Linked DNA regions of Sus scrofa. The protein of the gene in region 3 interacts with the protein of the main gene of each other region in a pairwise test. Links are inferred from orthologs where the notes say so. Each region holds a gene or a part of one and is shown on either strand. Other genes may lie near its edges. The genes, in order: POP5, ABI gene family member 3, CEP44, TXLNA, RNF8, SPERT and HYPM.

Evidence for each region.
Region 1: the proteins of CEP44 (region 3) and POP5 interact in binary tests that used the Homo sapiens proteins (3 or more experiments, as listed by UniProt). The two-hybrid records come from large-scale screens. The link is inferred for Sus scrofa from reciprocal best matches to the Homo sapiens genes CEP44 and POP5.
Region 2: the proteins of CEP44 (region 3) and ABI gene family member 3 interact in binary tests that used the Homo sapiens proteins (3 or more experiments, as listed by UniProt). The two-hybrid records come from large-scale screens. The link is inferred for Sus scrofa from reciprocal best matches to the Homo sapiens genes CEP44 and ABI3.
Region 4: the proteins of CEP44 (region 3) and TXLNA interact in binary tests that used the Homo sapiens proteins (3 or more experiments, as listed by UniProt). The two-hybrid records come from large-scale screens. The link is inferred for Sus scrofa from reciprocal best matches to the Homo sapiens genes CEP44 and TXLNA.
Region 5: the proteins of CEP44 (region 3) and RNF8 interact in binary tests that used the Homo sapiens proteins (3 or more experiments, as listed by UniProt). The two-hybrid records come from large-scale screens. The link is inferred for Sus scrofa from reciprocal best matches to the Homo sapiens genes CEP44 and RNF8.
Region 6: the proteins of CEP44 (region 3) and SPERT interact in binary tests that used the Homo sapiens proteins (3 or more experiments, as listed by UniProt). The two-hybrid records come from large-scale screens. The link is inferred for Sus scrofa from reciprocal best matches to the Homo sapiens genes CEP44 and CBY2.
Region 7: the proteins of CEP44 (region 3) and HYPM interact in binary tests that used the Homo sapiens proteins (3 or more experiments, as listed by UniProt). The two-hybrid records come from large-scale screens. The link is inferred for Sus scrofa from reciprocal best matches to the Homo sapiens genes CEP44 and H2AP.

Annotation. Positions count from the first base shown.
Region 1 is NC_010456.5:40,523,135-40,527,410, forward strand, and holds the start of POP5 (ribonuclease P/MRP protein subunit POP5), read right to left. Parts: upstream 2,801-4,276; 5' UTR 2,689-2,800; coding exon 2,669-2,688; intron 2,596-2,668; coding exon 2,453-2,595; intron 1,052-2,452; coding exon 902-1,051; intron 719-901; coding exon 635-718; intron 533-634; coding exon 417-532; 3' UTR 1-416. UniProt on the Homo sapiens protein: Component of ribonuclease P, a protein complex that generates mature tRNA molecules by cleaving their 5'-ends. Also a component of the MRP ribonuclease complex, which cleaves pre-rRNA sequences.
Region 2 is NC_010454.4:25,436,116-25,438,962, reverse strand, and holds part of ABI gene family member 3, read right to left. Parts: intron 1,388-2,847; coding exon 1,211-1,387; intron 1-1,210. UniProt on the Homo sapiens protein: May inhibit tumor metastasis. In vitro, reduces cell motility.
Region 3 is NC_010456.5:15,883,600-15,887,099, forward strand, and holds part of CEP44 (centrosomal protein of 44 kDa), read right to left. Parts: intron 2,270-3,500; coding exon 2,108-2,269; intron 1,127-2,107; coding exon 920-1,126; intron 181-919; coding exon 105-180; intron 1-104. UniProt on the Homo sapiens protein: Centriole-enriched microtubule-binding protein involved in centriole biogenesis. In collaboration with CEP295 and POC1B, is required for the centriole-to-centrosome conversion by ensuring the formation of bona fide centriole wall.
Region 4 is NC_010448.4:88,658,889-88,662,850, reverse strand, and holds the start of TXLNA (alpha-taxilin), read right to left. Parts: upstream 2,801-3,962; 5' UTR 2,646-2,800; intron 2,415-2,645; exon of another isoform or gene 2,348-2,414; intron 2,110-2,347; 5' UTR 2,078-2,109; coding exon 1,900-2,077; intron 1,073-1,899; coding exon 743-1,072; intron 1-742. UniProt on the Homo sapiens protein: May be involved in intracellular vesicle traffic and potentially in calcium-dependent exocytosis in neuroendocrine cells.
Region 5 is NC_010449.5:32,955,812-32,959,311, forward strand, and holds part of RNF8 (E3 ubiquitin-protein ligase RNF8), read left to right. Parts: intron 1-461; coding exon 462-551; intron 552-2,661; coding exon 2,662-2,769; intron 2,770-3,500. UniProt on the Homo sapiens protein: E3 ubiquitin-protein ligase that plays a key role in DNA damage signaling via 2 distinct roles: by mediating the 'Lys-63'-linked ubiquitination of histones H2A and H2AX and promoting the recruitment of DNA repair proteins at double-strand breaks (DSBs) sites, and by catalyzing 'Lys-48'-linked ubiquitination to remove target proteins from DNA damage sites.
Region 6 is NC_010453.5:21,617,903-21,621,955, forward strand, and holds the start of SPERT (spermatid-associated protein), read right to left. Parts: upstream 2,801-4,053; 5' UTR 2,767-2,800; coding exon 2,713-2,766; intron 1-2,712.
Region 7 is NC_010461.5:33,887,947-33,890,790, reverse strand, and holds HYPM (huntingtin-interacting protein M), read right to left. Parts: upstream 1,559-2,844; 5' UTR 960-1,558; coding exon 618-959; 3' UTR 501-617; downstream 1-500.

The DNA.
Region 1 (4,276 bases), about 25 Mb from region 3:
TTGTCTTGTTGTTGTTGCTATTTCTTGGGCCGCTCCCGCGGCATATGGAGGTTCCCAGGCTAGGGGTCGAATCGGAGCTGTAGCCACCGGCCTACGCCAGAGCCACAGCAACAAGGGATCCGAGCCGAGTCTGCGACCTACACCACAGCTCACGGCAACGCCGGATCGTTAACCCACTGAGCAAGGGCAGGGACCGAACCCGCAACCTCATGGTTCCTAGTCGGATTCGTTAACCACTGCGCCACGACGGGAACTCCGGCAAGTTTTAAACAATAAGTCAATTCATTTTGAGCTGGTAACTGGCCACTGATCAGCAGTCATCCAGTTTGAGAACTGTAGAAGGTGCTAGTGCCTCCCAGAATTCCCTGTCCAACAAGTAGGCCCTGAAGCTTAGGCGCAACGCAGCCTGCAAAAGTTCACTCCATTGTCTCAGCAGCCTCCTCACCGCCACTATCTGAAAGCTCCTCCCCAGTGGACTCCTCTTCTAGTAAACAGCTTCTTGTAACAGACTTCTGGATAGCTTCCCGCTCTCCTGGAGAAAGAGCATGGATTATTAAAGTCTCTGGAAGTGACCTCTCATTCAGCTGGAGGAGGTCAGTCACTGCTCAGTGGGCACGGGGCTAGCAGGGCTTACCTTCATCAGTGCAGTTCTGCAACAAAATCAACAGCTGTCTCCTATTGTACTGAATGAGGAACTTCTGACATGTTCTAATTGTACCTGACACAAGAAAGAGCTTTGCAGTCAACAGCTCGCAAAAGGTGTTTGCCTCAGAGTCTTGCAGAGCTAGGAAAAATTATCTTGCTCTTGGCAAGGTAGCAGGAGGACCCACCCACTATTGAAGACTGAACTCTGAACCTGTTTCCTATTGAAAATCAGCAGCCATAACACATGCACCCCTACCTCCCACGTGTAAGGTGTTAAAAAAACACGGATAACGGTGTCCTTTGTTCTCCAAGTATGTGATGAAGGGAAGAGCTGACCACACGAGCCGATAGAATTCCTTCCGGCATCGAAGTAGCACTATTCCGGTATAGGCATTGAGGTATCGCACTGCAGCAGGAAAAAAATCATTTTGGGAAAATGGATTCTCAGGAGCACGTTTAAAATCTTAGGGTAGAAGTTCCTGTCATGGCGTAGCGGAAACAAATCTGACTAGGAACCATGAGGTTGCTGGTTCGATCCCTGGCCTTGCTCAGTGGGTTAAGGAACTGGCGTTGCCATGAGCTATGGTGTAGACTGTGGCTGTGGTGTAAGCTGGCAGCTGTAGCTTCGATTCGACCCCTAGCCTGGGAACCTCCACATGCTGTGGGTGCAGCCCTAAAAAAAGCAAAAAAAAAAAAAAATCTTCAGGTAACTGAGAGCCTATGTACCAGAAAACATTCAAGGCGGTGGCACTTGGGATGCCATCAATGAGTAAAAACTGATTTCTGAAGGAAAATAATGGGAGATAAATAACATCTAGGGCCTTTACATACCACTCAGAATTGGTGAATGAATTTAGAATTTAATTTTTTGCTTTTTAGGGCCACACCCATGGCATATGGAAGTTCCAAGGCTAGAGGTTGAATCAGCTAAAGCTGCAGGCCTATGTCACAGCTACAGCAACTCGGGATCGAAGCTGCCTCTGCCACCTACACAGCTCAGGGCAACCTTGAGTCCTTAACCCACTGAGAGAGGCCAGAGGTCTAATATGCATCCTCCTGTATCCTAGTCAGGTTCCTTAACTGCTGAGCCACAAAGGGAACTCCTAAAATGCACTTTTAATTCACAAACTAGTTAACCCAAGGAGGGGGGTGGCAGAAATCCATACTCTTCAGAAGGATGTTTTCCCTTAGCTGAAAAACAAGTTCTGCAACTGGGCTATGTAGGTTCTTCCAGCAACCGAGTCTCACCTTGGTAGAAGGGTTGCCTCTAGGTACATTACCTTCTCCAGATTTCAATTTCAAGCATATGGTAAAAAACGGAATGAATTTACATAGTGTGGTTGTGGAGGAGGGTCCTCTCTTGCATTTACACATACACACAACTGTGTATTCTGTACTTCACAGGCCCCTATGCAGGGCTTTTCAGGGGTAATTCTGACAATGCTTTTTTCATATGATGTCAAAGTAACCCGTCAAATAACTTACTCGGAACTATACAAGTCTTTCCTCATTTAGTTTTCATCATCCTATTAAACTCAATCAAAAACCACACGTCAAATAGTATAGGGGTTTCTGCCGACTGGTATTTTCTGCCCACTGCCTACTGGTATTAGCTCTCCGCTTAAGTTTGGACTCAAGCAGACCTCAGGCTCGGGTTCTGAAACTCCTAAAAAGGACGACACCCTACATAAAATGGTGCACAGGGCTTGGCAGCTTCCAAGGTCGCCCGTGCCCCTTCTTTCTCCCTCCAATGGCCACTGCTCCCTCCAGATCCCGCCATCCTCCTGGTTCCCCAACACCCTCGCACCCGCGAAGCCGATGGAGGAGGCGGCCGCGCCGAAAGTTCCGTGCACGCGCGCGATCGTGTCCCGTACTAGGCCGCCCAGCACTCGGTCCTCCAGATTCAGACGGCAGCGGGGGTCCTCAGACACCACTTCGCAAAGCAGGTACCTGGGGCAGGCGAGAGGGCGGTGAGTGCTGGGCCGGGGCCAGGACCGCAGGGACAGGAATAAGGGTTGCTTACCTGTGCTTGAAGCGCACCATGTTCGTATCCGCCTCGGGCGTCCAGACACTCAAACCGGATGTCTGCCTTCTCGTCGGCGGCCAATGGGAAGTTGGCCTGGCAGCCACTCAGAGAGGGAGGCGGAACTAGAATGTAGGCGGAGCCCCGTGTCAGTCTCCTTTGAGCTCCGCCTCCCTCTGCCGAGCGCAGGCGTCCTGCTCATTTCTTCGCTTAGACTTTCAACTGAACCCGTTGTGATGAGTGGTTGTGCTCCACGCCAGAGTTTGCTGTTTAGGATGCAGCTGAGGCATTTGGAACCTCCAGGACGTTCCATTACCTTGCAACATAGTACCCAAGCTGGACGGTGGAACATTTGAGCACAAGACCTTGCACCCCCCAGGCCAGGGATTGATAGGGGAAATCGGACTCTTATTCTCAGTTTGGAGCTCGGTTTAATTTCTCCATACAGCCAAATATGTTATTACTGTTTAGGCCTTTCAATAACCTTATGGAGTTGGGTGTATTGGCTTGTTTTTTTTTGTTTGTTTTTTTGTTTTTTTGCAAAAACAATCCGTGGTCGTTATATTTTCTGGTTATTTTGGTTTGTTTTTTGTTTTTGTTTTTAAACAGAAAAGCACAAAGAAGCAAATAAAAATAAGTTATAATCCCAGCACCTAGAGAGAATAATTTATCATGTAGTGGATTTTCTTCCAACATTTTACCCCTGTTCCAGTGGTTTTCCAGGTGAAGTCCAGGAACCACTGGATTTTCCCAGATTCTTTTAGGGAGTCCCCCGAGGTCAAATTACTTTTGTAGTAACACTAAGGTGTTACTTGCTGTTTTCACTTTCTGAGTGGACAGTAAAGTTTTCCAGAGGCCAGTGACATGTGCTGACATTGCTCTGATGGCTAAGAGAATTGTGCATGGTGTTTTAAACATTTCTGTTTTAATAAACATAGTGAGTATCAATATATTTCACATAACAAAAGCTCTTTGGGATCCTCAATAATTTAGTAAGAATGGAAAGGGGCCCTGAGACAAAAAAGGTACGAGATGTACCTTCCACTGTATGATAATTTATATTTTCCATTTTCTTTTTAAGAATAGGATCATACTGTTTACTACTCTTCTTTCCCCTCACATTGAATATCTTTTTAAAAACTGAGGCATAACATACATAAAATGCATATTAAGTGCATAACTCAATGAATTTTTATATATGTATAAACTTTTGCAACCACTGCCCAGATTAAGAGATAGAACATTTCCAACACTCAGGAAGGTTCCTGTGCTCTCTTCCGAGCCAAAAACCTTCCCAGAAGTAGCCTATATTCTGACTTCTGTCATGACAGATTAGCTTTTTCTCTTCTGGAACTTTATATAAATGTAAATCTCCAGCAGCATATTTGTGTGTGTGTGCGTGCATGTCTGGCTCCTTTCTTTCAACATAATGTCTGTAAGATTCATTCTTGTCATTTGACTATATTTTCATGCCAGCTGTTCTACAAAGTTATTTTTCAGTTGCCCCAGACTGCATTGTTTGGATGTACCACTGCTGATCTAGTCAATATTTCCATGATGGATATTTAAATTAATTCCAGATTTTCTTGTTATAGCCAGTACTTAGTT
Region 2 (2,847 bases), on a different chromosome or scaffold from region 3:
TTCCCAGCCCCTCTTCCCACCCCCCTCACCCGCTGCCTGGGTCTTGGGTCTGAAGGCCGCTTCCTCCTCTGCCGAGCCGCACCCTTTTCCCCCCAGCAGCCCCCAGCTCGCTGGTCCCCAACCCTGAGAAACCCCAACCCCCGCGCGGGGCTGCGGAGGTGGTAGGGAAAGGACCTCCCATTTAGAATCGTCCCCTGTTGGCCGGCCTGCGGCACTGGCTTTGGGGAGTTGGGGGCAGAGAGGGGCAGCACCCTTGGAGTGTTCAAGTGACAAGGTGCAAACACACGTGCCAGGGAGCACCTGTGTGACGGACAGCGTTTGCCCAAGAGAGGGTGCACGGGGAATGATGTCTTCCGCTGTCCTTCAGGAGGGACAAGACAAAAGGGACTTGAGCTGAAGCACGAAGAACTGAGGTTGGACAATGGGTAGAATGGGCTGGTGACTGAAGGAGGGAGTGTACTTTCTCTTTGGGGGAAGAAGGTGTGTTAAAGGATATGGGGTGTGGGGGCGGAGTTCGCGTCGCGGCGCAGTGGTCCATGATTCCGACTAGGAACCATGAGGGTGTGGGTTCGATCCACACCCTCGCTCAGTGGGTTGAGCATCTGGCATTGCTCAGTGGGTTGAGCATCTGGCATTGCCCGTGAGCTGTGGTGTGGGTCCCAGCCGCGTCTCGGATCCTGCGTTGCTGTGGCTCTGGCGTAAGCCAGTGGCTGCAGCTCCAATTCGACCCCTAGCCTGGGAACCTCCATATGCCGCCAGAGCGGCTCAAGAAAAGGCAAAAAGACAACCAAAAAAAAGAAAAAGAAAGAAAGAAAAGGATATCAAGGGGTCATTTAGATACTAGGAAGCTTCTAGTGTCATCTGGAGTGTTGCAGGATCTGACCCTTGTCTGTGACCTACAAAACGGCTCATGGCAACTCCGGATCCTTCACCCACTGAGCAAGGCCAGGGTTCGAACCTGCAACCTCATGGTTCTAGTCGGATCCATTAACCACTGAGCCACAATGGGAACTCCCGGAGTCTCCTCTTTAAGGAGGCCTTGTGGGGTGGGGCAGCAACTTAGGATGATGGCTTCAGGGACTGAGGAAGGAAAGAGGCCGCAGGTGGGGACAAGAACATGGCCGTGGAAGAGAGCTGAGGCTCTAGAGAGAAGAGATCGGTGAGGCAGAAGAGGGTGGGCTGTAGAGAAAGAGGAGGGGCCCCTCTCTACCTTGATCCCATGGCCAATGTCATCCAGGCAACCAAAGTTGAGGGGTTTCCTGTAGTAGGGCGTCAGGGGAGGTAGGCTCTCAGGGGCGATGATTTTCTGGCTGGGGGGCAGCCGCTGGACAGTGGCTAAAGTACCGATCTCCCTTCGGGCCACCTTCTCCATATGCATGTTCACCATCTGCGACACAGACACAGGGTTGGAGGTGACAGTGAGATGGCCTCTGCCCAGCACCTCGCCCTTTAAGATGTTGGCGGGGGGGAGGGGGAGGACCAGAGGAGGCCATGAAGTCCAGAGAGAAAGAGGGAGGTCTGTCCCCATTCCACACAGCATTTGGGAAAAGAGTGGCCAGGGGAGGATGGAGCTACTTTGGAGCAACTTCCTGGCGGAAGAGAACAAGGGTTATTTATTGTTCGCTGAGCAGGAACCAGAGGCAAAGGGAAAGCACAGCATCCCTGGGGGTGCAGGGAAGAGACGGGGCTGGCTCGGGAGCAGAGCGGGTCAATGCGGAGGTGGCTGAGAATTGTGGCTGGAGCAGCTCTCCCTTTGGGGGGACACTATGAAGTGAATTAACTTCCTCTTGGAATGTTCTGTGGAGAAACCTGCAGCCCCGGGAGGGCGGGACCTCCAGCCTGCTGGGGTGAGAGGAAAAGACACACCCACACGGAACCTGTGGAGGATACACAGGCCAGGCTGATGTGTAACTGGAGCTGTGCGGGTGGTTTATGGGGCAGTGGCTCAGCCAAGGATCCAGGAAGGAAGGAGGAGGGCGTGTGTGCTAGATAGGGTGGGGGGTAGTGGCAGTGCTGCCAGGGCTGAGGATACCTTGCCAGGCAAGCACTGTGGGTCTGGGATTTTTCCTAAGTCACTGCCTGTGTTAGGATGGAAACTGGGTCCATTTGCCTCTTTCCTGTCCCATGCAGCCCCCGTGATGGGGAGAGCCTACTGTCTGTCGTATAGGAGAGAACTCAGGGGAAAAAAAGTTCTGCCAGGGAGTTCCGGTCATGGCTCAGTGGGTAACGAATCTGACTGGGAACCATGAGGTTCTGGGTTCTATCCCTGATCTTGCTCAGTGGGTTAAGGATCCGGTGTTGCCGTAAGCTGAGGTGTAGGTCGCAGATGCGGCTCAGATCCCACTTGGCTGTGGCTGGTGCCTACAGCTCCCATTAGACCCCTAGCCTGGGAACTTCTTTATGCCATGGGTACGGCTCTAAAAAAAAAAAAAAAAAAAAAAAAAGGAAAAATCAAAAAGAAAAAAAAAGAAAAGTTCTGCCATCACAGAATTCCTGGTCTGATGGAGCAGCAAGGCCCACCCCTGAGACATAGCTACAGAGACAAGAGGGCTCAAAAAGCCTGGCATGTGCGTTTGGACATGGAGGAAGGCTGCAGAAGGTGTCCAGGAGGGGATTAAGAGTTGGGGGCTGAATTTCCCGTCGTGGCGCAGTGGTTAATGAATCTGACGAGGAACCATGAGGTGGCAGGTTCGATCCCTAACTCCACTCAGTGGGTTAAGGATCCGGTGTTGCGATGAGCTGTGGTGTAGGTCACAGACACAGCTTGGATCCCGCTGTGGTTCTGGTGTAGGCTGGTGGCTACAGCTCTGATGAGACCCCCAGCCTGGGACCTCCATAGGCCACGGG
Region 3 (3,500 bases):
AAAAAAAATAAGGCTTAAGGATACTAAAATGATCAAACACTAGAAAATCATTTCTGTGAAAACGCCCTTCCAATATCACTGACACCAATACACTAAGAACTCACCCGGATTGAGACTATCCATGTCGCTACTAGAAGCATACTCTTCACTCATTTCATTAAACTCTATATAGTTGTCATTCTGGAATAATACAGTTCACTAATTAGAATAAAATAAAAAGAAATGGTTCTCATTTTATACTCTTATGGCTAAGGATTAAATATAAAGATGACATAATGTTTAAATATTTTTGATTACTTTCATTTAAAAGCAAAAAAAAAAATTCCTATGTATAAAAATGATCTTTTCAATGTGGAAGGAGATAGAAACTTTGAATTCACTAACTTTCTAGGAAGAATAGACAGACTAGGAGCAGAAATTGACATTCTGAGTAAATCAAGATACAAGTTTCTCAGATTTGATAAGGCAATGGCAAATATGGTAACTATTTCTACAATATTTATAATTTGAAGTAAATGAGTGAGAAAGGAAGTTATCATTTTAATTTTTCCTACCCTGGCAACTTTTTCTTCACCTTGTAACAGTAGGCCATTTGTACTATTAAAGGAATAAAGTAATTTCGACTTTTTTATAAATACATACAAACAATATCTTACCTCATTTTTAAGTATTTCAAGTATTAGCAGTTCTAAAAGCTCAATTTAACAAGTCTGTCAGTTTATCTTATTTGATGAAGAGAAAAGCAACAGCCACAACCACCACCAAATAGGCTGTACCTAAAGAGGTCTTTATTACAACAAAATATTTCCCACTACCTAAATACCCTCTCATTTATCATTCTAAAAGATACACAAAAATTAATTAAAGAAATACTTAATTGTATCTGAGATATTCCAAAAATGTTATGGAAAGAAAATACCTTTTTAGATAAAAGCATTTCTGTTTCAAGAAGAGTGACACGACTTAGAAGATTGGTCCAGGTTTTTTCATTCACCATCACTTTCCCTTTCATTTTCGTTTCCAAAGAGTCTAATCTATTCTCTAGGCAAGTCAGTTTCCTAAGCTTTTCTTGGCATTCGGCAAGCATCACCTGTAGTGCAGTAATCTCAGGATTGACTTTTACATCCTAAAATGATGAGAAAGATTAAAAATATTATTCCAACTGAAATTGTCATAGTTCAAGTATTCCCATTTGCACCGTGTTGTTTCAACAGCCACAACAGGCAGGACAGCGAGAGAGCTGAGAGTGCTATTTCTGGAGGCAGACCTCTTAGATACATAACCTAGCTCACATGAGATGCCCGATGCCTCAATTTCCTTATCTAAAAAAAAAAGGGACAAGAGTGCCAGTTTCATTTGGGTCTTGCAAAGATTAAATGAGTTAACATACAAGTTCATAGAACAGTACCAGATGGTAGAAAAGAAAAAAGCTTGCAACTACCTTCTTCTCATTACATCTAGCAGAAAGCTAAGAGGAAGTGACCAAGAATGACAGTGCATTGAGACTGTTCAGTTTGCTGTAAAAAGGAAATAAGCTGAATGGTCATCTTGTAGTTTTTATAAATGCCAACTGTATACTGATGTACAGAAGTCATAAGACAGAAAAAGAAGTTTTAGCAGCAGCAGTAAAGACTAGAAACTATGATGGGGTCTATGGCAATAAAGTCATAGAAATGGTGTTCTGAGAGAGAGCAGAGGACAGCAAGGGCCCTAAAAGGGAAATGAAAAGGCAATAAGGAGTACACCACTTTTCCCGTTCATCAATATGGGGAACAGGTAGTAAAGAACCTTCACTGAACAAAGTGGTACATCTCCCTCTCTTTCTCTCTCTCTCACTAGACTGTGAATTATTTGAAACCAAGGAAGTCTTATGTCATTCTTCTTTGCATTATCTACAAAAACTCACCTAGTACCCCAAATATAAGGAATAAATAATCTTTTGGATTATATCCAGTGAGGATCATTGATTCGTAAGTAATGGTAACAAAGGTAGCATGTCATGATCAATAATTAAAAAGTCTAGAAACGTTCTAAAGATTAGATGCTGAAATAATCATGTCTATCAGAAGAAATATCAACATCTGTTAAATAAGTCCAAAATCCTTACTTGTTGCTCACAGTTAATCTCAGGAACCTGTAATTCAGGAATCTTGAGGTCAGCAGTCTTCAAGTCACAGACATCAAATGCTTCATGAACATCTGCTGATGGATCTTCAGGAATGTTAACACCATCTTCACTGTACAGGTGGCGGATCACCACAGCTTTCTTCTGTACGGAGGAAAACAGAGAGGCTTTCATGTTCTCCTCCACAATTATTTCAAACACACACGTAGCATTTTGAAAAAACAAAGAACAAAAAACGTCCTATTTTTCCACTTAAGACTTCTGCAAGTTGAAACTACCTCATCAGCATATACCAAATATCACAAACTTTAAGAATTTTATTTTCTATGTGAGGATAAAATTGTGGTCATATTCTTAAAAAGATTCTTGTATTTTACAAAAATGTTGAAGTATCTATTCAACGATGTCTAGGACTTGTTTCAAAAGGTTTTGGATTTGGAGGAAAAGATGTTGGGAAAAGCGGTTACAGGAAGGATGAACAAGATGAGCAAAGAGTTGACAAACAGCTGAACTGTGGAATGCCTACTTTGGTAAATGTTTTAAATGTTCCATAATAAGCTACTTTTAAAAGGTTACCAAATTACTCATATACAGATAATCAAGAGCTCTATGCATAGGATTCATTACAATTTTTTTTTTTTTAACGGGTGTACCCTTGGCATATGGAACTTCTTAGGCTAGGGATTAAATCCAAGCCACAGCTGCAACCTACCTCCACCATAGAAGATTGAAAAAATGCAATCGGTTACGTAAGTCATATTTAGTAAGTACTTATGCCTAATCCACAGTGAAGATTAAAAAAAAAAAATTAGTCTAAGAAAATCCCTATTTACCAGCTCCCATTTTGGTGCAACAGGATCAGTGGCATCTTGGGAGTGCTGGGATACAGGTTCAATCCCAGGCCCAGTGCAGTGGGTTAAGGATCCAGCATTGCTTCCACCGAGGCTTGGATCTGATCCCTGGCCCTGGAGCTCCATATGCTGCTGGGCAGCCAAAAATGAAAAAAAAAAAAAAAAAAAAAAAAAATCCCAACTAGAAAAATTCTAGTTGGGAAAGGATACAAGATACTTAACATTCCTTTTATTTTGTCCTCATTACCTGGAGCAAAACAGGCATTTTTTTTTTTTTTTAAGTTACTGACATAAGAACCTTTTACCTACAGTTAAATGTCAATATTTTTAATAAAGGCATAGAGTATAAATATCTTCATAGACTCTGTTTATATAACATATTCTGAATTGGGGAAAAATAATTCCCTAGATTTTACTTCAGCCAAAAAATACTCATCCTTTATCAAATTACACATTGATTATTCATCTGGAAACCTATCCTTCAATCTCAAAAGGGTCTGCCCCAGATGGAAGACACCTGAAAG
Region 4 (3,962 bases), on a different chromosome or scaffold from region 3:
GGAATCTCCATATGCCGTGGGAGCGGCCCAAGAAATAGCAGCAACAACAACAACAAAAAGACAAAAGACAAAAAAAAAAAAAAAAAAAAAACCAAACAGAAAACAAAAAACAAATGCCAGCTACAGTTAGCCTGTAGTTTTCCATGCTATCGTCTCACCTGGGGCCAGGTGGCAGTCAAGCCTTTGAATAAAGCAGGCATTCTCTTGGTCCTCATGGGTGCCTCTGGCTAGCTTGGCTTTATTTGAGTTTTCAACCTCATCTAATCCAATTCTCTTATTGTGTAGAGAAGTGAAAACCAAGGACCAGAGAGGAGAAAGGTCTCGCCCAAGGTCACACAGCAAGTTAGAAGTGGTGCTGGCTGAAGAGGACTGACCACTCAGGCCTCCTTCTTTCCATCTTCTCAAAGAGAGCAGGTTAGACTTCGGTTCCCGCTTGCTCCCAGGCTAGAAGCCCTTGTGCAGTGAACCTGCACGTCTCTATGCTATGGTCCTGCAGCCCCTGCTCTCATTAAACTATGTAGGTTGAAAATGTTCTCAAATCAGGTTGTGATGATGGTTGTACAGGTATAAATGTAATAAACCCGCTGAATGAAAAAAACATTAGAAAAAACAAAAACAAAAAGTAAGTAGCTGCTCTGGAAGTAGTGTTTCCTCCAAATCCTGGCACAGCAGGCTAACCCAGGAATGTCAGATTCAAACTCCCTCCCCTCACCAGCCTCATAAGCAGCTGCCCTCTGCTCACCTAGACCTTTGGCTTTCTTCTTTTCCTGGGGCCTTCGGTGGTCTCGGTCTACGACCTCGTCACTTGCCCGGATCTCGTCTGCGCCCGGCTCCCCCTTGGAGGGCTCCTTCTCACCATTGACTACTGGGGTCTCTGGCTCAGGCTCCCCATTCCTTGAGGCATAGGTCCGGGACTTCTCTGCATCTTCAGGTTCACCAGGCTCACCCTGTGCCCCATCTTCGCCTGGGCCCCCCTGATTGTTGTCTATACAGTATGTACTGAGGATGTCTTCCAATTGGCGGCTCAACTCCTCTGAGACATCACGGAGGGCCCCAGTTTTGGCTTGTGCTCCTGCAGCAGGAGGGATGAGGGGCAGAGTCAGAAATAAGACCATTATGCCACTGGCTGGGATTTTTTCAGGCCCAAACTTACTAGTTTGGGTTAAATGTTACCTAACTTCTTTAAACCTCAGTTTTATTACTGATAAAACTATTTCTCACCTCTGCCCAACCATGCTTGTTATAAGAGAAATCAAGTAAGGAGACCACCCAACACAGAGGTGGCATCATGTAGCAGGAACTCAAGGTCTAGTCCACCTGCAAATGTCACTTCTTGCTATTAAAAAAGTTCCAAGAGTTCCCGTTGTGGTGCAGCAGAAACGAATCTGACTAGTATTCATGAAGACTCAGGTTCGACCCTTGGCCTCACTTAGTAGGTGAGGGATCCTGTGTTGCTGTGACTGTGGTGCAGGCTGGCAGCTGTAGCTCCAATTCGACTTGAGCCTGGGCACCTCCATATGCCTAGGGTGGGGCCCTAAGAAACAGAAAAAAAAGAAAAAAAAAAAAAAGTTCCAGAAATGCCTCAAATAGGAATAGCAGTTACCCACTGCTGAAAGTGGTGTTTTTGATTTGCTGGTTGGGTGCCTCATTTGACTGCCAACCTGACTTAATCCTGTCAGAAGCTTCTCTCAGGAGAGTTCTGTCCCTGTGCTTAGGGTGGGAGGCTCTATCAACTCCCCAGCGCAGAGTGGGCACTCAAGGACTCAGTGGTGTCCTCCCCTCATTCTACATTTCCTCCCTTCTGGATAAACAGTGGCCTTGGCTTCTAACCCCAGAAGCTAGACTGACGCACCATAAACTCCTCCCCCTGCCCATTGGAAAAGCAGAGCTGGCACACACCCTCAGCCTTCCCTGGAGCCTGGCTGGTGGAACCTTCAGCTTCTGTCGTGGGAGCAGACTGGCTGGGCCGCCCCTGGCCTCCCTCTGGTCCTGCTTCCGGTTGCCCCGGGGTGTTTTTGGGGTTGGAAGTGTGGCCAGATTGCTTGGCAGCCCCATTCTTTTTGTCTTGGTTCTTCATTGTTGTTTGCAACGTTAGGTTATGAGCAGAACCTATAGAAACAAATACACTTGCTATTTTCCAGACTTTAAACAATTCTTCGCAGCCTGGATCTGATATCTCCACACCGGACCCGCAAAGCTTCTTAAACCGACCGGCCTTCCTCGGATGGGAGCCAGTGGGGCTCCCTATCTCTGGTCGGTCAGGGAAGTCTGGTGTGCCCAACAGCAGGGGAGAGGAGGCCTCCTTTTTCCCCGAAGCTACTTCCCCGGCACAACCCAGCCCTCTCACCACAGCCCGTGCGCCGGACAGGCTCAGGCCCAGGGACTGACGTGGCGGGACGCTGGATTCCCGGTTCCTCCCCGCCCCCCAGGCCCCACGTGTGCCCACCCCCCCGCGCGCGCGCGCAGCCACCCACGCCCCGCGCGCCCTCCAGCCGCGCGCTCCGCCCGCGCATGCGCACAGGCCTCGGCCCCTGCACTCCAGCCCGAGTCCTCGTGCGGAATCGGCGTAATTCCCTGAACCGTCCGAAGGCGTCGGGCCCCGGGCCCTCTGCTTGCCTTGTACCCCTAACCGACGCAATACGCACCCCACCGCCGACGTCCCGACGGCTTCTCCTGCTCTGGCCTCTCACCGGAAACCCTGGGTAACTGCTGCCGGCAGAGCCGCCTGCTCGCGCCGCGGCCAATCAATAGCCCGCGCTCTCGCGGGGCTTGCTGGGAAAGTTGAAGCGAAGGCGGCCTCTGAGGCGGGTGAGTTGGGAAGGCGGAGTGGGGGGGTGGAGGGACAGAAAGGACTACATGTCCCTCCATGCACCGGGCTGATCCCGACTCCCAAGCTGCAACAGGGCTTTCGTTCTTGGAGCCCAGACCCAGGAGGTCCGAAAGCAGCCAGTCATTCTGCACTGGTACTCACGTCAACCTCCTTTCCATCACGCAGAAGTTATGATTCAGCTCCCAGAGCCTTGCGCCTGGCTGCTTTTTCCCCGCACACCTCAACCCCGTCCTTCCCTCCTGCTGAGGATATCTGTGACTATCTAGGAACTCTGAGGACGAGGGATAAAATACGGTGCTGGACATCAGATCTGTATTCCTTCCAGTCCTAATTTCATCACTAATTTGTTATGTGACCGGGCATTCTTTTCATTCCCAGAGCCTCGATTTCCGTATTCCTATAGAAAATTTTAATAACAGTAGTTCTTTGAATGCTAGCTTTCCCAGTAACTACTCCAGATAAATACTGTAGTATTTGTTACTCTCAATTTACACCTGTTAGGTGATTGTCCAAGGTCACATAGCTATTGACTGATTAGAGCAGTTTCAAAGCCAGGAAGTCTGGCACCCATCTCAACTACTGGACTACCCTGCTTCTTACTCAGGAAGAAATAATCACCATGATGCGCTTTCCTTGAGGGTGAGTCAAGGTAACTTGGAAAAGTAAATACTTAATTTCCCATCCCCATTTCCACCTTGAGTCCCTCTTTGGAAGGTGCTGAGGCCCTGTAAGGGGAAGTTTGGTTTCAGCAGATTCCTGAGCCTTTTCTTTGGCCCACTCCTACCAAGTCCCAGTTGCACTGGTGCTAAAGGGGAAAAATAGCCAAGCTTTTCTCAAAATGTGAAATCACAATTCTTTTTCCATTTGTCTGTAGACAACAGAATAAAACACAGCAACCTATGTGCTTGGATTTTTTTTTTTTTTTTTTTTTTTTTTAAGGGCTGCACCTGCGGCATATGGAAGTTCCCAGGCTAGGGGTCTAATCAGAGCAGTGGCTGCCAGCCTGCACCACAGCCATAGCAACGCCAGACCCGAGCCACATCTGTGACCTACGCTGCAACTCATGGCAATGCCAGATTCTTAACCCACTGAGTGAGGCCAGGGATCGAACCTGTGTCCTCATGGATGCTAG
Region 5 (3,500 bases), on a different chromosome or scaffold from region 3:
ATTTCTCCCTGATTATTTCTTAAAAGCTATTCCCCATGCTGGTGGTCTCAGTTACTAGTTCTGGAGCGTTAGTTCCCAGAATCACCTGGGTGGCTTTTTTTTTTTTTTAATGCACATCCCTGGACCCCCCAAAGCCAAACCTATAGACTCAGACTCTCTGGAAGGCATTGTAAATTCTTCATTTGGTTTAAATGGCCACAGAGGTTGGGTTGTTTCCAGAGCCATTAATAGATTTGATGGCCTCCCTCCCTCTCTGCCTCTTCCCCTGGAAAAAGCAGCGTGTTAAATGAGAAGTCCTCAAGGAACAAGAGCAGTACTTTGAATTGCCAGTCCATTGATCTCTTGAACCAAAGCCGCTGACAAAGGGAGGGACAGTGACTAGGGGAGGGACAGGCATGTGTGGCTGAAAGGAACGGTACAGTGCAGCTCATCTTGAGTATGTATCTGCTGTGTTTCTGCAGCATCGGGCTCTGATGGAAGAGCTAAACCGCAGCAGGAAGGACTTTGAAGCAATCATTCAAGCCAAGAACAAAGAGCTGGAGCAGACCAAGGTACTGGAAAGAAGATGAAGGTTTAGAATTTGGTTAGTACATGCAACTCAGCATTTTCAACAGTGCAAGGGTTGCTGTGGTTTATGCAGGGAGAGATTATGGCTGTTTCCTGTCTCAGGGGAAATAATCTATAAACGTATTTAGGCCTGTAGACGGTTCTGCCTGTAAGACAGCATCTATTTCCTTGCCTCAGTCAGAAGCAAAATGCTGGGAATAAGACACCCTGCCATCTAGTCTAGTCCGTTGTCTGTGGTGGATGCCCCTTCAGAGCATGTCACTCACACAGGCTAAGGAGTGGTGCAGTTAGACTGAGAAAGAGTTCATCTTCACGCATTTATGGAATTACTTCCCATGTCCATTCAGTGGAACTCTTAAATCAGAGGTTGTAAACTCAAATGCCCCCTGAGGTCAGGCCGGCAACAAGTTAAGTGGCCTGGGAGAAAGAACACAGTGGGGAGCTGGGAGGCAGAGGCACACTGGAGAGGGGCACCACCCCACCCTCACCTCCACCCCAAGAGGGCAGCTCTTCTCTGCTGCAGCCAGTCCCTGCCTTCCCAGAATGCAAGCCCGGTGTTGTCAGAGCTGAGTTTCCCACAAAAGATGGAAATCCAAATGTTTAAGTGAAATATCCTGGTTTTCAAGGATTGGCAACAGTTCGGTTTTTTGATACCATGAGTGACAAATTGAATAAGCATGCAGACTGGGTCCAGTCCCCCGGCCACCACTTTGCAACCTCTGACCTGGAATTAGTGCCTGAGTCTGACCGCATCTCTCAGCCCACCCTGCCTCATGGGCAGACCTGTAGTGGAGGACAGAAAGGAGACACTCACTTTGCACCTGGGTCGATATTCGTATCCTCCCTGTAAGTCCCATGGGCCTTCTTCCCCAGCCTCCCAGAAACCAGCACATCTTTTTAAACATAGTAGTTCAAAAGTTTTCAGGAATCTTGACTCTAATTAGAAATGGATCCAGACCCTCTTTGCTGCCTTAAGCAGTCGGACAGTCTTACTTTGATTAGAAGAGAAAATAAAACATGAAAAATAAATCAACCACTCAATATACCCCAAATGGCTTTTCTTCTCCCCCTCAGGGGCTTCTGATCCTTTCTATTTTGTAATGATTTTTATTTTTCACGTTATAGCTGGTTTACAGGGTTCTTTCAATTTTCTACTGTACAGCAAGGTGACCCAGTTACACATACATGTATATATTCTTTTTTCTCACACTATCAGGCTCCATCATAAGTGACTAGATATAGTTCCCAGTGCTATACAGCAGGATCTCATTGCTTATCTGTTCCAAAGGCAATAGTTTGCATCTATTAACTTCAATTCCCAGCCCATCCCATTCCCTCCCCCTCCCCCTCGGCAACCACAAGTCTGGTTCTCCATGTCCGTGATCCTTCTGTTTTGGAGATGAAGTGCTAACTTAATGAATGTTGGCTTCAAGAGAGCACGCCTCTATCCTCCCTAAAATGTGTGTCCACAGACAAGAGGTCTGACCTCTTAGGGAAAGCCCAGGGAAATTGCACTGCAGGAGTGGGAAGTGACAAACATCATAGAGTGTGGGGCCTGAAGGTACTTCACGAGACCATCTCTCCAGCCTCCCGCCTGTAGGGAGCATGGGTATTATCCTTATTTTATAGGAGAGGCAGCTGCAAAGCATACAAGGGACCTTATACACTAATGCAAGCATCCTCCTTTATAGACTGTTCCCGTTTCTTTCTTTTTCAGTACGTTCTTGGTTTCTTGGGATGATTTTATGTCACCTCTGAACTGCAGTTTGCTATAGGATCTTAATGCCTTCTTCTGGTCTTGGGTGGTTGGTGGGGCTGGTATGTAAATTTTGGGAAGGAGACAGACTACGGTGCAAATACATACTGAAAAAGTGGAGAGAGAAAAAAGGCATGTGGTGCCCTGTATTAGAAAGCAGTCCTGAGAAACAGCATCCCTTGGGGAAAGAGTTTTAATCTCCTGTTGCTGCGCCAGGGTGAATTTTTAATTTAGACTCCTTCTGAGTCCTACTGTAGACTATTAACCCTGCTCCCTGTCCTGTTTTGCATTCTTATTGGTTTTCCCGAATGACAGATGGGGGATGTGTGTCTTTGCAGGAAGAGAAGGAGAAGGTGCAAGCACAGAAGGAGGAAGTTCTTAGCCACATGAATGACGTGCTAGAAAACGAGCTTCAGTGTATTATTTGCTCAGAATACTTCATTGAGGTAACCGTGAGCAGTGGCTCACACTTTCTCACTCTCCCAGCCCTGAAGGGAGCCTCGTCTACACCGGCTGCTTCTGCTACAGAGAAACATTCTGAAGAGATATTTCTTTCAGGAACTTACTATAGCTCTTTGACTTCAAAGTGACCTCTAGAAATGGCCACTTCTCATTTTTTTTTTTTTTTTTTTTTTTTTGCAGTCTTCTTTGCCTTCACTGTCTTTTTTTCTTATTTCATTTGTTCTTGTTGAGTCTCTGTTTGGTAGAATCAATATTTTGGCCTGTAATAAAGCCTTTATCTCTTTGTTGATGGGGAGAAAACAGCTTGATTTCAAAGAACCACTGAGAGCTGCCCCACCCTCTCCAGGTCAGAATGTCCCGTGTTTTCTACTTTTCTGACAACTGCGTGCTGTTGGATTTTGTGCCCAGTGTTTTGCCCCCATAGGTTTTTTTTGCCTCTAAGGAGCCACTTGATTCTGGTGGAATCCAGAATTGAATGGCATCAGAATTTTGAAGTATCAGAATAAAGCTGCTCAATAAAGCTGTTCTTTCTTTGCTCAGAATGGGCACAGTGCTGAGAGTGTCCATGCAGTGCAGGCTTTAAACAGAGGGGTAAATGTCATTGATGCAAGGTCACTGGGAATTCATTGGCCAAGTGGAGCATATTTCAGGGACTCTGAGCTCCTTATGAAAATGAAACACCTCCCCAAGGTTACCATTTGTTACACTCTTTTGT
Region 6 (4,053 bases), on a different chromosome or scaffold from region 3:
TTTCCTTATACTGTATGGAACAAGGAAAAGGGAATAACACTTACTGAATGACTACTATGTGATGGTGTGCTAATTGATTTCCATATTTATAGGCAATATCTTACTGAAAGGAGCTACTGTGTTTCTACCTGAGATCACACAGCCAGCAAGGGTTTAAAACCAGGATATCTGACTCCAAACTGCATGCTCATTCTAGCGCTTCGCAATGTCCAGATATTTTATTATGCATGTGTGTTGCTATCATTACTTTGCAGTGGTTCTCCTATGTCCCATCCCATCTTCTCCCCGGATGAATAAAATATAATTCTCTAGGGACAGTGACCCATGCCTTAGGTTTTTTTGACGTTCCCAGTCCTGGGAATTAGGACCACACATTTCACAACAAGGGGTTCGTGCCCATAAAAAGCTCCTGGAACACCCGGAAAGTTCCAGAGTGATCCCAGCGCCCAGAGCAGCCTGGCCAGGTTTCCCATGAAGAAAAGGATTGGTCTCCTCCCTGATCTGTGGGCAGTGCCCTGGCATGTGGATGCAGACCCAGGAGGTGGGAGAGGAAAAGGTGGGATTCCCCGTGGAAGAAGGGGATGCAAAGAAGGATGCAGGATGCAGGAGGGGAAGACTCATAGCTGTGGGGTTCTTTCCAAAGGCTTTATTAGCCAGGCAACCAAACAGGTTGGCCTCAGAGCAATGTGCTCCCAGCTGTGACATAAGTAGGATGCATTCATGCTGAGGGCCCAGGAAGGGCTCTGGGCACCAACATCTCCCGCACAGATGCCTAAATCCCCCCTGTGGTTGGGGATCTGTCCTTAGCATCAGGCCTGTCCTTCTCCCCAGCATCTCGTGTTTTGTTTTTTTTGTTTTGTCTTCTTAGGCCTGCACCTGTGGCATATGGAGGTTCCCAGGCTAGGGGTCTAACCAGAGCTGTAGCTGCCGGCCTACACCACAGCTACAGCAACGCCATCTACAACATACACCACAGCTCACGGCAGCACCAGATCCTTAACCCACTGAGCAAGGCCAGGGATCGAACCCACAACCTCATGGTTCCTAGTCAGATTTGTTTCCCCTGCACCACACTGGGAACTCCGACCAAGTCCATTAAAGCCCTGCTTTGGCAGCGTCACTGAGGGTTACAATCACAGAACATTCAGCCACCGGAGGTTCCCTTTCAGGCGTGTGAAGCTGAGAGGCCCCAGGATGCTGGAAGGAAAGACCAGCCACGCCACTAATTTTCAGACCAGGTGATAAGCCTGAGCCTCATTATCATATTTTTAAATTAACTCTGCTCCCGAGTGCCATGAGAAAGTCAATGTTGGTTTTCATAAATGCCAGCAGATAAGAGGATAATTCACAGGTCAATGTGATTGATCTTGATAGAATCATAACATTAACAGCAAAGAGGATAAAGATGTCATCTGCCATCCTCTGTGCTCATTTTTGCTAATTGTTGAACACGGAATCTTCTGACATCTTCTTCCTAAAGCTTATTCAAACTGGCAGAGGTGCAGGCATGGTCGGCAGAGTCCATAGCTTCTGAAGAACAAACCCAAACCCAGGGGACTGGGACAAGGGAACAGAGAGGGATGGGGGGCGGCAGGAGTGGAAGGGGGTCGCTGTCAGAATGCATCCTGACCTGGTGTAGGTCCTGCATCAATGGTCTGGCAGTAAACAGTGCCTTTAGGAAGTTCCCAGAGAGCGCTCACTGGGGAACTGCGACCCCCCCCCTCCGCCCGAACTGAATTGTTATGTACAAAAGGACCCAGGAGGGCAGAGAGCTTGGGCACTGATGGTTAACGCGCTGGAGGGAAAGAGCTCAGAAAGTACAAGTCCCTAATGTGAGGAAGAAAAACTGAAAATCAATAAGACCTGAAAAGACCACAGGGTGATAACAAACAGTGAGCCATAGGCATCTGCAATGTAACTGAGATGCGTGCCTGGCGGCTTGTTTGGGAGCCAGGAGGCCAGAGGCGCTTTCTGGCAATGCAGGGCTCAGGGCTGCTTGTGGCTGTTCCCTGCTGCGACGAATGGACTTGGTCTCAGAAGGAAGCAGAATGTGGCAGAGACCTGCAGGGAGCTCGGGGGTAGGCAGTAAAGATGGGGGGGAGGGGAGGTACCATGTCCTAAAAGCCAGGGAAGACGCAGCTGGCCTGTGCCCAGCCGGGGGCACAGCAGAGGAAGAGGCACTGACCTGGTTTCAAGCCTCCAGCTCCAGCCCTGCCTTACTAGTGGGGCTTCTGGGTTTCAATTCCTACACAGTCTCCCTCACGCTGCTTGGCCCCATGCCCACCACGTGATCACATCACACATCAGTGCTCAGGGCATCTCCCTCTCTCCCCCCCCAACCCCCGCCGTGTTAAGCAGATCGGTCCTTGCCCCGCCGCCAGCCATGCACAATCTCCTCTGGGGAGATCGAGTCAGCACACTGGTCCCTCACAGTCCTAGAGGTGGCCCAGTTCAGATCATCTAAACTTACAGACTACAGCCACACCACCCTGAACAAACCGGACCTGAACGCGCCCACATCTCATCTAAACTTAGAGACGCACCCTTCCCCCACCCAGGACTGCCGGCCTGGAGCATCCTGCTGAGGGTCCGGAACCTGACACAGGACTTGTGCGCAGCAGCAGTGCCTCACGTCCTCCGAAAGGCCAGGATGCCCAGGGGCAGTCAGTCCTGTTCCTACACAGCCCTGGACAGAGCTCTCTGGGTGGCTACCTCTACGCTGGATTCCTCCGCCCTACATTTCAGCCCCTCCGGCTGCACAGCCATGATCTTCCAGCAGGGCCTTAGGTGACTCTGAAGAAGCAAGGCTGCCCCCCCTTTGTGACATAGCCATGGAAACAATCCAATCAGGAGAACCCCTCCAGGGAAACGGCTGCTTAGCAGGCGGAGAGCTGAGAATCTCCAGCCCGTCATCCATTCACGGGCTTCCATTCGGAATCCTGCAAGCCCCGCCCCCCCATACTCTTGTCTTGGGCAAAAAGCAGGTCTTAATTCTCCTGACACCCCCAGATGACCCTGCACCCCTTGGGCTGAGTCCTAGGTTGTCTCCTCATGGGTTCAAGTCATATGTTTTTTGGTTTTGTTTTTTGTTTGTTTGTTTTTCTTTGTATGGCCACACCGGCGGCATATGGAGGTTCCCAGGCTAGGGGTTGAATTGGAGCTGTAGCCGCTGGCCTACACCACAGCCACAGCAACATAAGATCCGAGCCTCCTCTGCGACCCACACCAGTGCTCACAGCAACAACGGATCTTTAACCCGCTGGATGAGGCCAGGGATCGAACCCGTGTCCTCATGGATACTACTTGGGTTTGTTAGTGCTGGGCCGCAATGGGAACTCCAGGTCTTGCGTTTTTGATTCCAAGTCTCAGATCTCATTGTCTGCCAGCCACCTCCCAGGACCTGCCAGAAATCCAGAGAAGTTGCAGAACAGCCAACGCCAAAAGATCTAATTTTGGAGAGACTGGCTTATTTCAGAGTGTCACAGAGATTTCAAGGGGTAGGGCCGGAAGATCTTATCAGATCACCTAACAAGCTCCCTCCCCACCCCCCATTCAAGACTCAGAATGGCTTAAGTGCCCTCCCCCAGCCACACTGCTGGCTTGGCAGCTGCCCTACAACTAGAATCGGAGGCCTTGCTGGCTCTGCCTGCTCCATGTCCTCAGGCTAGAGTTTTGAAAGGGGAGGGTTATTCTGGCTAACTGAAGGGTTGCATCCTTCTGTGATTATCCCTACCTGAGGCAGAACCACATTGATTGGAATTTCTAGGCTTTCACATCTGGTATCTCTTTTTCTTGTAAAATTTGGCCTCGAGTGCTGCGGAAAAGAGAAAATAAATGGATTTCTGCTTCCCGGCCCCTTCTCTGGGCCTCAGATGCTCACCCAGAAAACAAGACTTTCTACTGCTCACTTATCCCTTCTTGCTAATAATGTACTTTATGAAAATCTGAGTCTGAAAGGATGTGAAAGTGATATCTGATAAGATATTTTACAGTTGATGGCAAAGCCTTCTGAAAGTTTTTGGAGTGGAGGTGCCTAAACCTACCACCTTTTCT
Region 7 (2,844 bases), on a different chromosome or scaffold from region 3:
TCCCCCTTGAACTAAGTTCATGCCAACTGCTCTGCCACTCTCTCCTGAGAAAATCCCCATCATAATCAAAAGACAGTCACGAACAAAGTTCACGCCAAGGGCTCTGCCACCCTCTCCACCCAGCCCACTGCCATCGTCGCCTACTTGTAGACCTGCTGCAGCAGGAATGAAGCTTTCAGGTCCTCGGTCCTGCTTTGCAGCCCCTCCCCCGTCACCACCGCCATTCTGGGAACTCAGCATCCTCGGGGGCCCTGCCCACCCCGGCCTCCCAGGCCCGGGCGCCCTCAGAGCCACGGAGGAAGGAGGGCCTCGCCCCCCACAGCCTCGGCCAGCCCCGCCCACCAGGACCACGCCCCGCCCCGTCGCCCTGGGAAACGGCTCCCCGAGATCCCGGCATCCCGCACTCACACCTCCCGGCCCCTCACCCGCACCCCGAGCCCCTCCTGGGGGTCCCGCGGACGCCTCAACGACACGTGACAGAAACGGACAGGCATCTGAGGTGCAGCCAGGGATCTAAATCCGTTAACATTTACTGATGACAGAAGCTGGGCTCCTCAGCTGAGATCTGCCTTAGGCTGAGGCTGTGAGGGCTCCTGCCAGGCTCTAGGACCCATGTTTCAGCCATTCCTTCGGGATCCAGGCATTTCATCAAACAGAGCAAAAGCTGTATCCTTCACCTGCCGATGGGGCTCTGCGTTGCTGTCCACTGCCCTCTCCACGTCTTGTGGGGTCATCTGCATCCTGCCGGTGTTGGCCTTAGTGTCTACCAGATCCAGGATGTAGTCGGTAAGGTATTCGAGCACGGAGAAGAGGAAATGTGTTGTGGATGAACTCAGAGTGTGGACATACTGATCTTCCTGCAGAAGATGGTCCACGAAGCTCACAGGGACCTGTGGCTCGGTTGTTGTAAGATGAGTTGGAGCCTCATAAGAGCCCTCGGGGCTTTGTTTTCCTGACATGATCTTTGCTGGCTTCGGCTTCAATCAGCTCTGCTTGATGTTCCTGCTGGACTGGACCTCTTGAGACACCCGCATTCAGCCCTGCACATGATATAGCTATGGTCTAGTCCCTTTGTGACATCCTAGACTTTGGGACATCACTGGTTTCCATTGTGCCTTAACTGAGCCTCAGCCAAGACATGTCCATGACAGGACTCTGACTGGACCCTCATATGGAGGGAACTGCCCCTGACCTTAACGTTGTAGAAATAACTGTATATTTCAATGGCAAACTTGTCTCTATCTTTCGGACACCATACCACATTTTCCGACTCTAGCCTTGTAATGTCTTTGAAGGTTTTTATAACCTTTTGTTAGTGGGAGGTTGGTGAGAAACATAGTAAATGTACTGCCTAGAAGAGGTGAAACTGTCCCCCCTCTCATGATGTCATGAAACTAGTTTTGCTTACACATTCATTTAAATATTCTTTTCTTTTAAATGTTATAATTATTATTTTTAATAGTTATTTCCCAAATACAATTTAAATATTCTTGATCAATACTCCTGTATCTAATGTTTGGATTCTTTTTTTAAAAAAAATTTTTTTTAATTTATTTTAATTGGGAGTTCCCACCATGGCGCAGCAGAAACGAATCCGACTAGGAACCACGAGGTTGCGGGTTCGATCCCTGCCCTTGCTCAGTGGGTTAAGGATCCGGCGTTGCCATGAGCTGTGGTGTAGGTTGCAGATGCGGCTCGGATCCCATGTTGTGGTGGCTGTGGTATAGACCAGCAGCTGTAGCTCCGATTAGACCCCTAGCCTGGGAACCTCCATATGCCGCACCCAGCGGCCCTAAAAAGACAAAAGAAAAAAAAAAGAAAAAAGAAAAAAAAATATTGTAATTGGTTTACAATGTTGTCAATTTCTACTAAACCGCACAGTGACCCAGTTTTATATATCTTACATATACATACATACAAACATACGCGCGCGCACACACACATTCATTTTCTCACATTATCCTCCATCGTGTTCCATCACCACAAGTGCTTAGAGATACAGTTCCCTGTGCTATACAGCGGGACCCCATCCACTTGGATTCTCTTTTGAACGAGTTATAACATGTTCCCTTTCCCTCACTGAGCAAAATGGAATCTTTTAACCCATGTTCACCTCATGTCTATTATGAGTGTCTTGATTTTGCACAGTTTGAAAAACATCTTTTGACCATTTGGGAAGTTCCAATGAGATACTCAATGGATTTAGCTGTAAGAAGCAGGACAATATTGTAGAGAGGGCAAAAGCTGTACTGGGTGCCCAGTTTCAGCCCAGATGTGTCTTTTCTTGCCTGTCCTAAGTGAGGCCAAGACACCAAGTGTTGTTTCTTCTCACTTTTTTCTTATTTTCATTTTCCTCTCCACTAATTTTGTGTTTACTGCCTTGTTTTTGCTTCATTTGCTGCTGATAAGAGTTACAGACATTGCTCTCCCAAAAGAGAAAGTAGAAGGCAGAAAGAACTCGGATTCAAGCAATTTCAGCATCCAAGCAGGCAAACCTCCTCAGCTATCAAGTCCTGAGAATGATCTTTTGTGGCTTGAGGCGCCTCCCTCTAATGCCATGATTTCATCTGGGACCATAGCTCTGCCCTCAAAATCATCTTTCTTTTCTTTTGAATGGTGAATATGTTTGCAGCTGAGTAGTTTTATCAGCCTGTTTCCGCTTATGACATTTTGGGAGTCCCATAGCCTCTTTCATGTCATCTTTTCTCTATCCTTTCAGTTAGCGACGACATTGTTTCTGCCTATTTAATGGACTCAAAAATCTTGCAGTCGCCCATGTATGTCTTGGGGATTCATGTCCTTAAACAAGAGGCTGATTCACAAACCCCTCCTGGAAAATCTAAT